2 linked regions of the Oryzias latipes genome follow. The protein of the gene in region 1 purifies or fractionates together with the protein of each later gene. This does not show direct contact. Links are inferred from orthologs where the notes say so. Each region holds a gene or a part of one and is shown on either strand. Other genes may lie near its edges.

The links. Proteins that work in one complex are often made in the same cells at the same time.
Region 2: the proteins of ribosomal protein S6 kinase alpha-3 (region 1) and fgfr2 purify together in Homo sapiens (affinity purification with mass spectrometry; 3 studies listed by BioGRID and IntAct, counting the BioPlex papers as one, with this or other methods). This does not show direct contact. The link is inferred for Oryzias latipes from reciprocal best matches to the Homo sapiens genes RPS6KA3 and FGFR2.

The regions. Positions count from the first base shown.
Region 1 is NC_019878.2:2,773,611-2,778,829, forward strand, and holds the start of ribosomal protein S6 kinase alpha-3, read right to left. Parts: upstream 3,661-5,219; 5' UTR 3,646-3,660; coding exon 3,421-3,645; intron 1-3,420. UniProt on the Homo sapiens protein: Serine/threonine-protein kinase that acts downstream of ERK (MAPK1/ERK2 and MAPK3/ERK1) signaling and mediates mitogenic and stress-induced activation of the transcription factors CREB1, ETV1/ER81 and NR4A1/NUR77, regulates translation through RPS6 and EIF4B phosphorylation, and mediates cellular proliferation, survival, and differentiation by modulating mTOR signaling and repressing pro-apoptotic function of BAD and DAPK1.
Region 2 is NC_019873.2:29,203,353-29,208,571, forward strand, and holds the start of fgfr2 (fibroblast growth factor receptor 2), read left to right. Parts: upstream 1-2,128; 5' UTR 2,129-2,691; intron 2,692-4,300; 5' UTR 4,301-4,399; coding exon 4,400-4,568; intron 4,569-5,219. UniProt on the Homo sapiens protein: Tyrosine-protein kinase that acts as a cell-surface receptor for fibroblast growth factors and plays an essential role in the regulation of cell proliferation, differentiation, migration and apoptosis, and in the regulation of embryonic development.

The DNA.
Region 1 (5,219 bases):
GTTTACTTTCTCAGGAGAGAGTTTTTGTAGTCTATGGACTACATAAGGGTTGGACAGAGAGTATTGTGATCAGGAGAAAGACCAGGTCCTAGCTTTGTTGGTCCCGGTCAGAGGTTCAGGTCTCACAGGGGGACGGCTCTAGTGCTGCATGTTTTTTATTTGTATGAAATGATGAATACTCTGTTGGAAGTTCAACAGTAATCAGAGCGTCCTCCTGCTTCCACGTGGGAAGCCTTTTTAAAAACCAAATCACGCAGGAGCCGCCAAACAAAAACAACTAAAACTCTTCCTCCTCATTCCGAACGGCTTATCTGATCTCACCACACTCAAAGAATTCCAAATGTGCCGTGAAAATGTAGACATGCTGCTTTATTTTTAACTCACTGACATCAAAATCAGGGAGAGAAAGCCATTATTAGAGACCAAACGGGAACTCCTCCCTTTAAATTCAGGGAGCTGTGTTGATGTTGTTCTGGCGCCACAACAGTTTGTGTTGCTGCTCCCACTCATTCAAAGGACTACGGAAGAAATAGCTCAACATGTAGTGTACGTGTGGTTCCACACAGGGAGAATAAGTGGTGTTGATGCTGAGATTCTGAAGGACTTGAGTTTGAACTCGGGTCATAGTGACAGCCTTTGGTATTTGGATTTACTGATGTGTCATAGTCATCAACATCAGAGCGTCTCCTCATGTTGATGGCTAATAACGAAGGTGGAGTGTTGCCCTCAGTACACTGAGCCTCTGGTTGGGTCTAAATTCCTTCACTACTCACTACTTAGTTCACTATACAGAGTGCTCACCATTTTCTACTGCTGTCTGAATCTACAATTCCAAAATCCAGTGCCTGGAAATTTCCCAGAAGTCTCTGCGAAAAACCAGTGTGCATAGATGCTCACTAGATTGGCGAATATAGACCATAATGCATTGCATTGAAACAATAGTTGTGAGAAAAAAACATGTATTTCTGTGTGTTTCTTTGTCTAAACTATGCAGGTTTTGTCATCAGAACACAGTTGATTCATAAAAAGTCTTTGTGTAATGTTCATGTTTGTTCAATTTTCAGTAGTTCTGGAGTCGGCGGGAAATTCAGACGTATTTTCTGTCTTATAGTCACTTTATCAGAAAAGGGTATTTGTGCATGTTTTCCTTTTTCCTCCGTTTGCTGCACCTTCTTTGTCCTTCTGTCACAGTAGGTTTCAGTGAGTTTTTGAAGCATTTCAATGCTTCCTGCTCCTGAACTGGTCCCATGAAGCGATGCAGGTTTTCATCACCGTGTTGGGACGGGCAGAAGTGGACATCAGCGGGTTAGAGCGCTCCTGCAAACCTCCTCAGATCGAGTTAGAGCCTCCCAGAGAGCGGTGTAATGCAGTTATGAGCAGCAGACGCTTGACACAAACCCTGCTTCCCCCCCCTCAGGTCCGAGCCTGCAGGGAGGGGGCCTTCAGGACCACTTCTGCCAGTCTGTGCATCCAGAACTCATAGCGCTTATGGAGACGAGGGATCCAGAGAAGGACGTTACACAACAACCGCTGCAGAGCTCACCCTTTCACCTGTGCCAGGCTGTTTTCCTCTGAAAGCTGTCAGTTTTTTTCTTACTGGTCTTTAGGTTTTTTTTCTCACTCTTTAAAAAGTAAAAGCGAAAACCTTCAAATCCTGCAGAGATCCTACAAACTCGCAGCTGCAAGTATCATTCCAGTTCAGACGACGTTTAGCTTCTTCACATGCAGTCCAGCATGGTTTTGATAATGTTCACACTTTGGATAAGAACAACTCCAGACTAAAGCAGCTTCATCATTCCTGACCTTCAGCATCGTCACTCATCCGCTCAGCCTTCACATTTATGCTCACGCTGGAAAAACTTCCTGCACTCTGTGTTTATTTAGAGTCCTACAGTTAAACGTTAAAATGTCACAGAAATGATGGATGCTTTTGGAAATACATACATCTAATAAAACAGCTGGAGGACACAGAACCTCCACGAAAAAACCTTCCTCAGCATTTTATAATTAACATCAAATAAAAGGAATACAACATAAACATTCTGACTTCTCTCCATTTGAAAGTTTTTTTTTTTGCTTTGATCTCATCTTAAAGTCTTCTTGTGAACTTAAAACTTTTTTTTAATGCATAAAAAGTCCAAACAGAGAGAAAGCAACAAAATAAAAGAATCCCTTTTGGAGCCAAAAAGGTCGGGTGATAACTTTCATCCGGACCAAACAGGAGAACCGTGGTCCTCTTCAGAATGAGGATCTCTGTTGACTTGCAGGTGAACTCTGGTGTGCATGCCCACAGCATGGATCTGAAGGAGCAGGAAGCATGTCTGCCGGGTCAACATGGAGTGGACGAGCAGCTTTTCTGCTCCAGTCCTGGTCGGAGCTCGTTTCAGGCAATAGTGCCTCAGACGGTCAGTCTTTGGTTCTCAGGAGAGAACGCCCAAACCAACCTGTTCTCATTTATCTTCTGCCCCTGGGACAGTCCCACCAACAAGATGGCCCTGCAGAGGGTGACCAGGACGGCCGAGAAGGTCATCGGTTGCCCTCTGCCCCCCCTGGAGCACATCTCCAGCTCACGCCGCCTCAGGGGAGCCAAGAAAAGTCCTGACCGACTGATCTCACCCTGGTCATCACTTATTCAGACTGTTGCCATCATAGACCATAGATCCCACACAGCCGTGAAAACAGTTGCTGTCCAAGAACCATCAGGCTCCTAAACACACCACACCCCACACCTTTGTGTCTCCAGATGCACATTAAGACGACGGCTGCCAGTAAAGCATTCTATTCTATTCTATTCCATCCCCAGATGCAGAGGACATGAAGAAGTACGACCGTTTCTGAAAATGAAGCCATAGGAGAGAGTAACCCGCATCGGTTTGAAGTGACAGATGCAGCAAACATCCTGCAGGAAACGCTAAAAATCCGGTTTCAACCACATGTTCACCTGAGTTCATCACCAACTCACGAGGCCTCAGGATGTTTTCGTGCTTCCACCTTCATCTTACGCAACAACAGCTGCTGGGAAGCGGAGACGATGACCTTATTATTGTTGAGAGTGACAGCTGATCCGTGAAAAAGCTGGAGCTGGAGTCCTCCGACACTCCGGGAGGACTTGGAACGGGTCTGACTGCAGCCGTCCAAACTGTTATCTTTACGTGGAACAAAGGTCTGACGGCGGCACACGCCAGTGCAGGAGAGGATAAGCGCGCCGTGACCTGATGCCAATCACACACGTGCACGGCGGCGAGCCCTGTGACTGTCACTCACGAGCAGACTAAACCTCGGCGACACGCTCATCTGTCTGAAGGGCAGCGTGAACCACAGCCCGGCTGACAGCTGAACCTCTGCCGCTGTGAGCTGTCAGAGGCGGGGGGGGGACCCTCAAACATGCAGGGGGCTGGGGGGGTCCCAGTGAGTACTCACAGCCGCACAGGGGGGGTCTGCTGCATGACGGCTCAGGAAGGAGCCCACAGGCTTCCAGCTCTCCAGCCCAGGATTGTGGAAGGGCTCTCCTCTGAAGCTCCGGGTCGGGCGAGGACGGCGGCGGGTGAGCAACAGCCGCCGCAGCGACTTGAGTCTGCTCCTCAGGCCTCTGATGAGGCCGCCGATGGCGCACACGCACGGCGCCGCGGCCGCAAAGTGTGTCATGGTGGCATGAAGTGAGGCGCTGGGGGTCTGAGCAGAGAGAGGGAATACCCGGAGAACAGGCTGGGAAAGGAAGGGAGGGGGGGTAATTCCAAACCGGGATGGGAAGTGGGACCCCCCCCCTCCCTCTTGAACGCGTGAACATGCAGCTGTGACCTTCTGCTTTCCAGATGAACCTGGAGATCCCCACAAGGACACCAGGAGAGAAAAACCGCTTCAGGAAAGCACCGATCGGCCGGCCGGCTGGTTGGCGTGCCCCCCCCCTGTCCGTCAGCTGGAGGCGGGAAAACCCTCTTCTGCACCGTAAATCTGAACGTCCTCAGCTGCTTCAACCGCTCAGACGTGTTAACGTTCAGCCCCTTCCTGCTTCTACTACCGATGCTCTTTATGAACAAACAGGAAAAGCTTTTCAAATCTTTCAGCTTCTTTTTAAATGTTGAAACGTTTGGTGGATGATTTACTTTAAGTTCATAAAAACCTGGACGTCAAGATGCTAAAATGTTCAAATGCGTTCAGTTAAACCCATTTATTTAAGAATAAATAGTTTGAATTGAAGAGCCGATGCTGATCGTAATTATAAAACCATCAACAACATGAGAAAACCAAAAACCACACAGATGAACTTCAGGAAAGACCAGCCTCCTCTGAAGTCTGAGTAACTTTGGTTAATCCTGTAAATCTACCATTTCAAACAAGTGCAAATAAAGTAAACCATCAGTTTAAACATATTGATGATATTTATACTAGATAGATCCTTTTTAAAGTAAAAAACAACATTAACATAACAATCAATACATTTCAGTCCTAAAGATTCAGAAAGAAGATGATTGATGATTGAATCACTTATTGGTTCTTGACGGGATCTGTTGGATCTCACTGGTTTAGGATCCAGAACCCAGACTGAGTCTCCGCTGCACACGGAGGATCTGATCTTCTGATGCTGGACCTTCCAGATTCTTCTGAGCTGCAGATCACCCTTGACTCCGTCCATCAGTCCTCGGTGGGATCGACTGACGGACGGCTGAAGGCTGTGGCGCAGCGTCTTTCTCTGACGTGACCGTGGTGGTCTCCAAACCCCCTCCTGATGTTGCACCTGAACATCCCATAGATGTGGGGCCATAAAGACCTCATTCAGCAGAGAAGCTGCACATGCTCCTTCCTTTGGTTTCTCCAATTTTTCCAGCTGTGAGTTTCACTCAAAGCCATGTCATTCCTGTATTACAGGGAAGTGGGAACTTCCTGTAAAACACTTCCTGTTAGAACCCCAGGATCTTAAATTGACCCAGAATGCAGCAGCCTGGAGGTGAACAGACGGGACCACGTCATCCCACAGAGGTTTGGTTTCTCCTTTGAAGGGCTGTTTTTAAGGTAGCGTTGATGCTAGTGCTCTTTGTCTTTGTGAACATTTTCACGCCGCTGACCAACAGCAGCGTAGAAGTTTGTGTTCTAGTAGGCTGCCTCTTCTGCTCCATTCCCATCTTCATGGAAGGCTCTGATGAAAGACAAAAACGCTCTTTCTCGCATCGTTTTCAGAGGAACGGTGTTCACCCGGAGCAAAAAGTCGTGAAATCTTCTAG
Region 2 (5,219 bases), on another chromosome or scaffold:
TTCAGTCATCAGACGGCAATGACAACTCATCCATGTTGATTCCAACACTGAAAAAGGAGGATGAAGGAAAGCTCTGAAAGGTGACAGCTTGATGGATAACGCAGTGCAGGAGCGTTGAGTCCATCCAGTCAGCAGTCAAAGGGCCTCTGCTAGATGGGTTTTTTTCCAGCAGGAGGCCTGAATGGTGGAAAATAAATCGGCTAATTGTAAAAAGGACTGCAAGAAAAGTGCTGCACAGAAAGGGGAAGCTGCAGGCGGCCGATTTGTGCTTCTCCTTGAAAAATGTGTTTGAGTTTGTGGCCTCATCTCTGTCAGCCCTCATTCCCAAGCAAGCAAACAGTCAGCTGCACTGTTAACGGAGGGTTTTCCTGCAGAAGGAAGAGACAAAAACACCTACAACCGCCTATTCACTGTCCAAGCCTCCGCCTCAGAGAAAGGCTTGTTAGTGCCTCTTTTCAGCATGAATGGAAGCATTTCCCTCCTCTTGTTTAAGAAAAGAGAACTTGAGCAGTGAAAAGAAGACAAAGATAAAAAGTCTGTGGAGATTAGAGCCCCCCCCCCCGCCTCCCGGGTGTCTCTGTCAGAGGACTTGAACGCCTGAAGTGATGGGAGAGACAGCCGGGCTGTGGTTGGCGTTGATGTGGGGGCGCCTTCACTTTCCTTTGGGGAACTCAATTTACTGCAGACTCTTTCCAAATGAACAGACTTTCAGATTTTTTCCTTTTGCTAAATTCTTTCAAACTTTCAAACTTAAAATAAAACTTCAGGAAATGGCTCACAGAGCGGTTGTTCCACGAAACGTTTCTTCAGGGGAAGGTCCGGTCACATCTGATCCTTATCCCTTGTGCTATCCTAGGTACTATAACATTGGGAGTTGGGTCATCTAGACCCACTAGACAGTGCTCTGAACCTTTTTTCTTCAATGATTTGTGATCTTCACTGGTGTCCATGGATTACATGAAATCTTTCCACCTTTATCCACCTTTGTCATGGTAGGGAGAACACGTCAATGTAAGGGTGGGGTCATCTAAGACAGCACAAGGGCTAAGAGGATCTGTGATTTCACTACAAGCTCTTAGAGATATTGATTTTTTATGAATTTATAATGTTTTGAAGGAACTTTTACTGGAGAACACGTTTATAAAAAATGGGTGAGACTCTCAGGATATCTGCCTTTTTACCAAAAGTGAAGGATGTTCTGTCACTTTAAAATGTGACACTGCAGCAAGAGGACAGCTGTGCAGCTTGCTTTTTTCTAAAGGTTACACCTTAAGTTCATTCATTCATTCATCTTCTAATCCGTTTGTCCCTTTCGGGGTCACAGGGCTGCTGGAGCCTATCTCGGCCCCTTGTGGGCGAAAGCAGGGGACACCCCTGACCGGTCGCCAGTCTGTCGCAGTTTATTAAGTTTATTCTCAAAATAATTAAGTGAAAATAAATAAATAAATAAACCTCTGAAACATTTTAACTAAAAATAAAACAACAGTAAAATCAAGTCCTGTTGTTTGTTCCTCCAGGATCCAAAGAAACCTTATTGATGATCATTTCACATGCAAACTTTTGGACAACTGTACGGAAACCATTGGCTGTGATTGGCTCTTCGTCGTGTCTCTTTCCTCCTGAAACTTTTCTCACATTGATGTCAGAAATGTGAGAAATTCCTATTTCGGGTCACATAACACCACCGCGCCAAACCTTCATTTCTTCTTCGTGTGTTGGATTCCCGCTGAAATGTGACTTTCATCATCCAGATCTGATCTGACAGACTTTCCCAAAAAAACTGCTCCATGTTTTCCCGCCGCGGTCATCATCCAGAGAGAAAATCTTGAATCAGCTCCAGGACGGTTGGCGCGCGCAGCACATGAGTTTGCTGCAGTCGCGCGTTGGCCGCTGGGCGGCGCTGTTCTGGAGGGCGCGCGCGTTAGACCCATTAATGGGAGCGAGCTGCGCGCACGCGGGCAGGTCTGCAGCCTGATGGGCGGAGGGGAGGCCGGGCTCGAAGGCGCTGCAGCCAGGGAGCAGCTCAAATTACGCTCGGAGTGGTTGTGAGTGGGTGGAGAGGAGGTGCAGGGGGAAGGAGGAGGGGGGATGACACCCACCGGAGGGAAGGAGGAAGGCGGTGTACGGAGACGCAAGAAGGAGAAAAAGCGACCAAACCTGACAAAGCGGCTGAAGGCAGAGCGGAGTCTGTCGGTGGAAGAGACGCATGAGACGCCGCTCGCGCCGCAGGAGCACGCGCGCTGATGGATTTTAGGACGCCGCGCCCCGGACAGCTTTGCCCTCGCGCTCCACCAGCTTCACTACAGCCCCACGAACTTTGTGTTTAGCTGACAAGTGCGCCGCGAGAGCGGTGGGGATGTTTGCGCTCTAGCAGGAGGAACTCGGTGACGGGAGAAAAGTTTTGAGGGGGGACGGGGGGGACGGCGCAATGGTTACCGAGCTGTTTTCCAAGGATAACTGACGCGCGTAAAGTCGGATTTGTTTTTGGAGACAGTGGACCACGCAGCCAGACGGCTTTGGAATATTCTTGCGCGTCGATGCTGATTGTGGAATAACAAACGAAGAACAGGCTCCCAGATTGTTCCCGCTGTGTGGAGTTGGAGACATTCCTGTCTGTGGATTCAGCTCACGCTCACTGACTCAGTCCTTATCTGTGCCAAAACACAGATCATCGCGATTCCAGGCTCCCTGGTAAGTTCTTTTTTTCGGTTTACGGAAAACAGAGCTGGGAAAAAGCAGTCGCTTCTGTTTGTGTTTTTATAAACAACAATTTCATAAGCTTCCCTCTGCAGTTTGGGCTTTTCTTCACCTGAGTTATTACGTAATTTGGTGGAAGTTCTCAAGTTTTTGCTTCCTCTTTTATCCTAAATCAAATGTTAGAAAGGAAAAAGCAGCAAAGTGTCCGCCTGTTTACTTGAAGCGCGCACCAAACCCTCATCAACTGTCCTGGTTATTTATTACTTTGCTTCATTTTCTACATTGCATTTATGGTGCCAATTAGCGCGTGACCGCAGTTGTTTTTTCGCGGCTCGTTGCGGAGCCCTAAATCCCCGAACGGCTCCAAACGAGCTCTTTTGTGCAGAAAGCCAACTGTTTTGAATGTCAAAAGGAATTCAGGCAGCGCCAAAACATTTCATTCAAAGCGTGGCTTTAAATGAAGGCTTCGGTGGCGCACGGCGCAAAGTCCCACGTCACGTTTCTGCACTAACTTCTGCGCTCTGATGCTCGTTCCTGGGATTTTTGTAACATTGCTTCTTTTTCCTCCTTAAATGAGCTGAAAATCATTTGTCATTTTTTTCTTTTGCTGGTTTAATCAACTGGATTCTTAAAAAACGGATCTTTTGAACTTAAATGTTTTTCGTCCTGCAGAAAGATTCCGGACAGACAGCAGTAATGAGGCGGATTTTTGCTCTGATGACTTAGTTTATTTCTGCCTCACATGATGTTGGAGCGACTCCGAGCTGAATTGAGAGGTTAAAACGATGCATTTTCCCAAAACACACCCGAAGAAGTTCTGAATCTGCATCAGCATCAGGTGCGCCGCAGCGCCTGTGGCCCCCGGGGGGGCTTTAGGGTAAACAGCTTGTGTAGGTTTTGTCTTCGCCCTTTAAAAGTCAAACCACAAATGCCTTTGCGCGTAAAGACAATCGATACGTCCAGCTGGAGCAGAAGAAGCGCAGAGAAGCGTGACTTCAGCTAACCTCCAGAGGCCTGTCAGCCGCGCGTGTGTGCGGCGCGCGCGCGCCGTCCATATGTGTCTTCAGAGCCCCGGTACTCGGTTAAAGCCCGTAATCAGATCGCAGTGATGTAATAAAAAGGCTTTTAGGGACGCAGCGCATATAGGTTTGGCCCATAGGTTGCGCAGGAAAAGCGCGGTGACCTTTTCTGTCTCCCCGGCCCATCATATGAGGGAAGGTGGGCTGAGCTGCAACAGGTCATCTTATCAGAGCTTCTCTAGATCTGATTCTGTGAGTTGAATCAACTCCTGGAGTCGGATCTTCCAGCTTTGGCAGCTGCAGTTTGAAGCAAACAGGTTTGACGCACCGAGAGCTCCAATAAAATGACTCTGCCCTGTTTTTCGACAATATTGCCCAGCATGTGATTAGAACCGAGTGTCTGCAGCTCTGGTATGTCTGTGGCATGGCTTGTTTGACAGCTTTTCAGCTCCGAGCTGCTCCCTCTGCTGCATTTAAGGAAGGCAAAGAAAATCTTTGCTAAATCAGTTCTGGAGGATTCATTTCAGCTGACCCTCTTCTCCTCTTTTCTCACTTTTTCCTTCACCCCTCTTCCTCAACTCCAGCCTTTTCTCCTCCCCTTTTTCAATCCAGGTGATTGGTGTGAATTCCAGTGAGTGACCGGCCGACCGGGCAGCAGTTGATGGTTGGGCGGACCCCCTCAGATGGGATCAGTGTCCAGGGGGAGGTGGAAGAGGGGGGCATGGGGAGTGTCATCCCTCACTAACAGGATGGCCTGGCTGCTGGCCGCCATCCTGCTGTCCCTCCTGACCGTGGGCCTGGCCCGGCCGCCACTCACCGCTGCCAGGGAGGAGGCCACTTTGGAACCCGAAGGTGAGCGGCAAGAATCTGTTGGATGGGGGGGGGGGGGTGTCTTACATTATACTTAAATTATACCAAATAGTTAACAGCTAAAATAGTTAAAATTCTGTTTATGAAATATAAAACAGGACTGTGCCTTTTTGTCAGCAAATTTAGAATATATTTACTGTAACGTTTTCTGATTCAAAGTTGAAATTTTCCTTCTTTAAAAACAGATTTCATCAAAGTTCCTGTAAAACATTTTTTATGGTCTGCATTTGATAAAACTTGAAAGTTTGGGTGTGGAGGTTTAAACAAATAAACTAATGAAGTTCAGCATCAGGAGCTGCAGGTTTCCTCAGCTGGAGGTGGAGACGTCTTTACTGCTGTCTGGGCCGTCTGCAGTGTGTTTGTGCGCTAAAGCCGGGTTGGTGGTTCTGGGGGGCGCCATGACCCGTGATGGGGAGGAGTTTATGCTGACAAGAGAGACATGAGGAGGAGTGAAGAAAATCAGAACTGTGCTTCTTTTCAGACTTTTTCAGAAAATGCTTAAAGCATTTTTTTCCTCCAAAGAGATCTCCTCTCTGCTGCTTCGGCCCGGTTCCTGCAGCTCCGATGAGGAGGTGCCTGAGCTCTCCTCTGTTGTTTAATGTCAGACAGTTTGGCTCCAGACTGCAGCTCCTC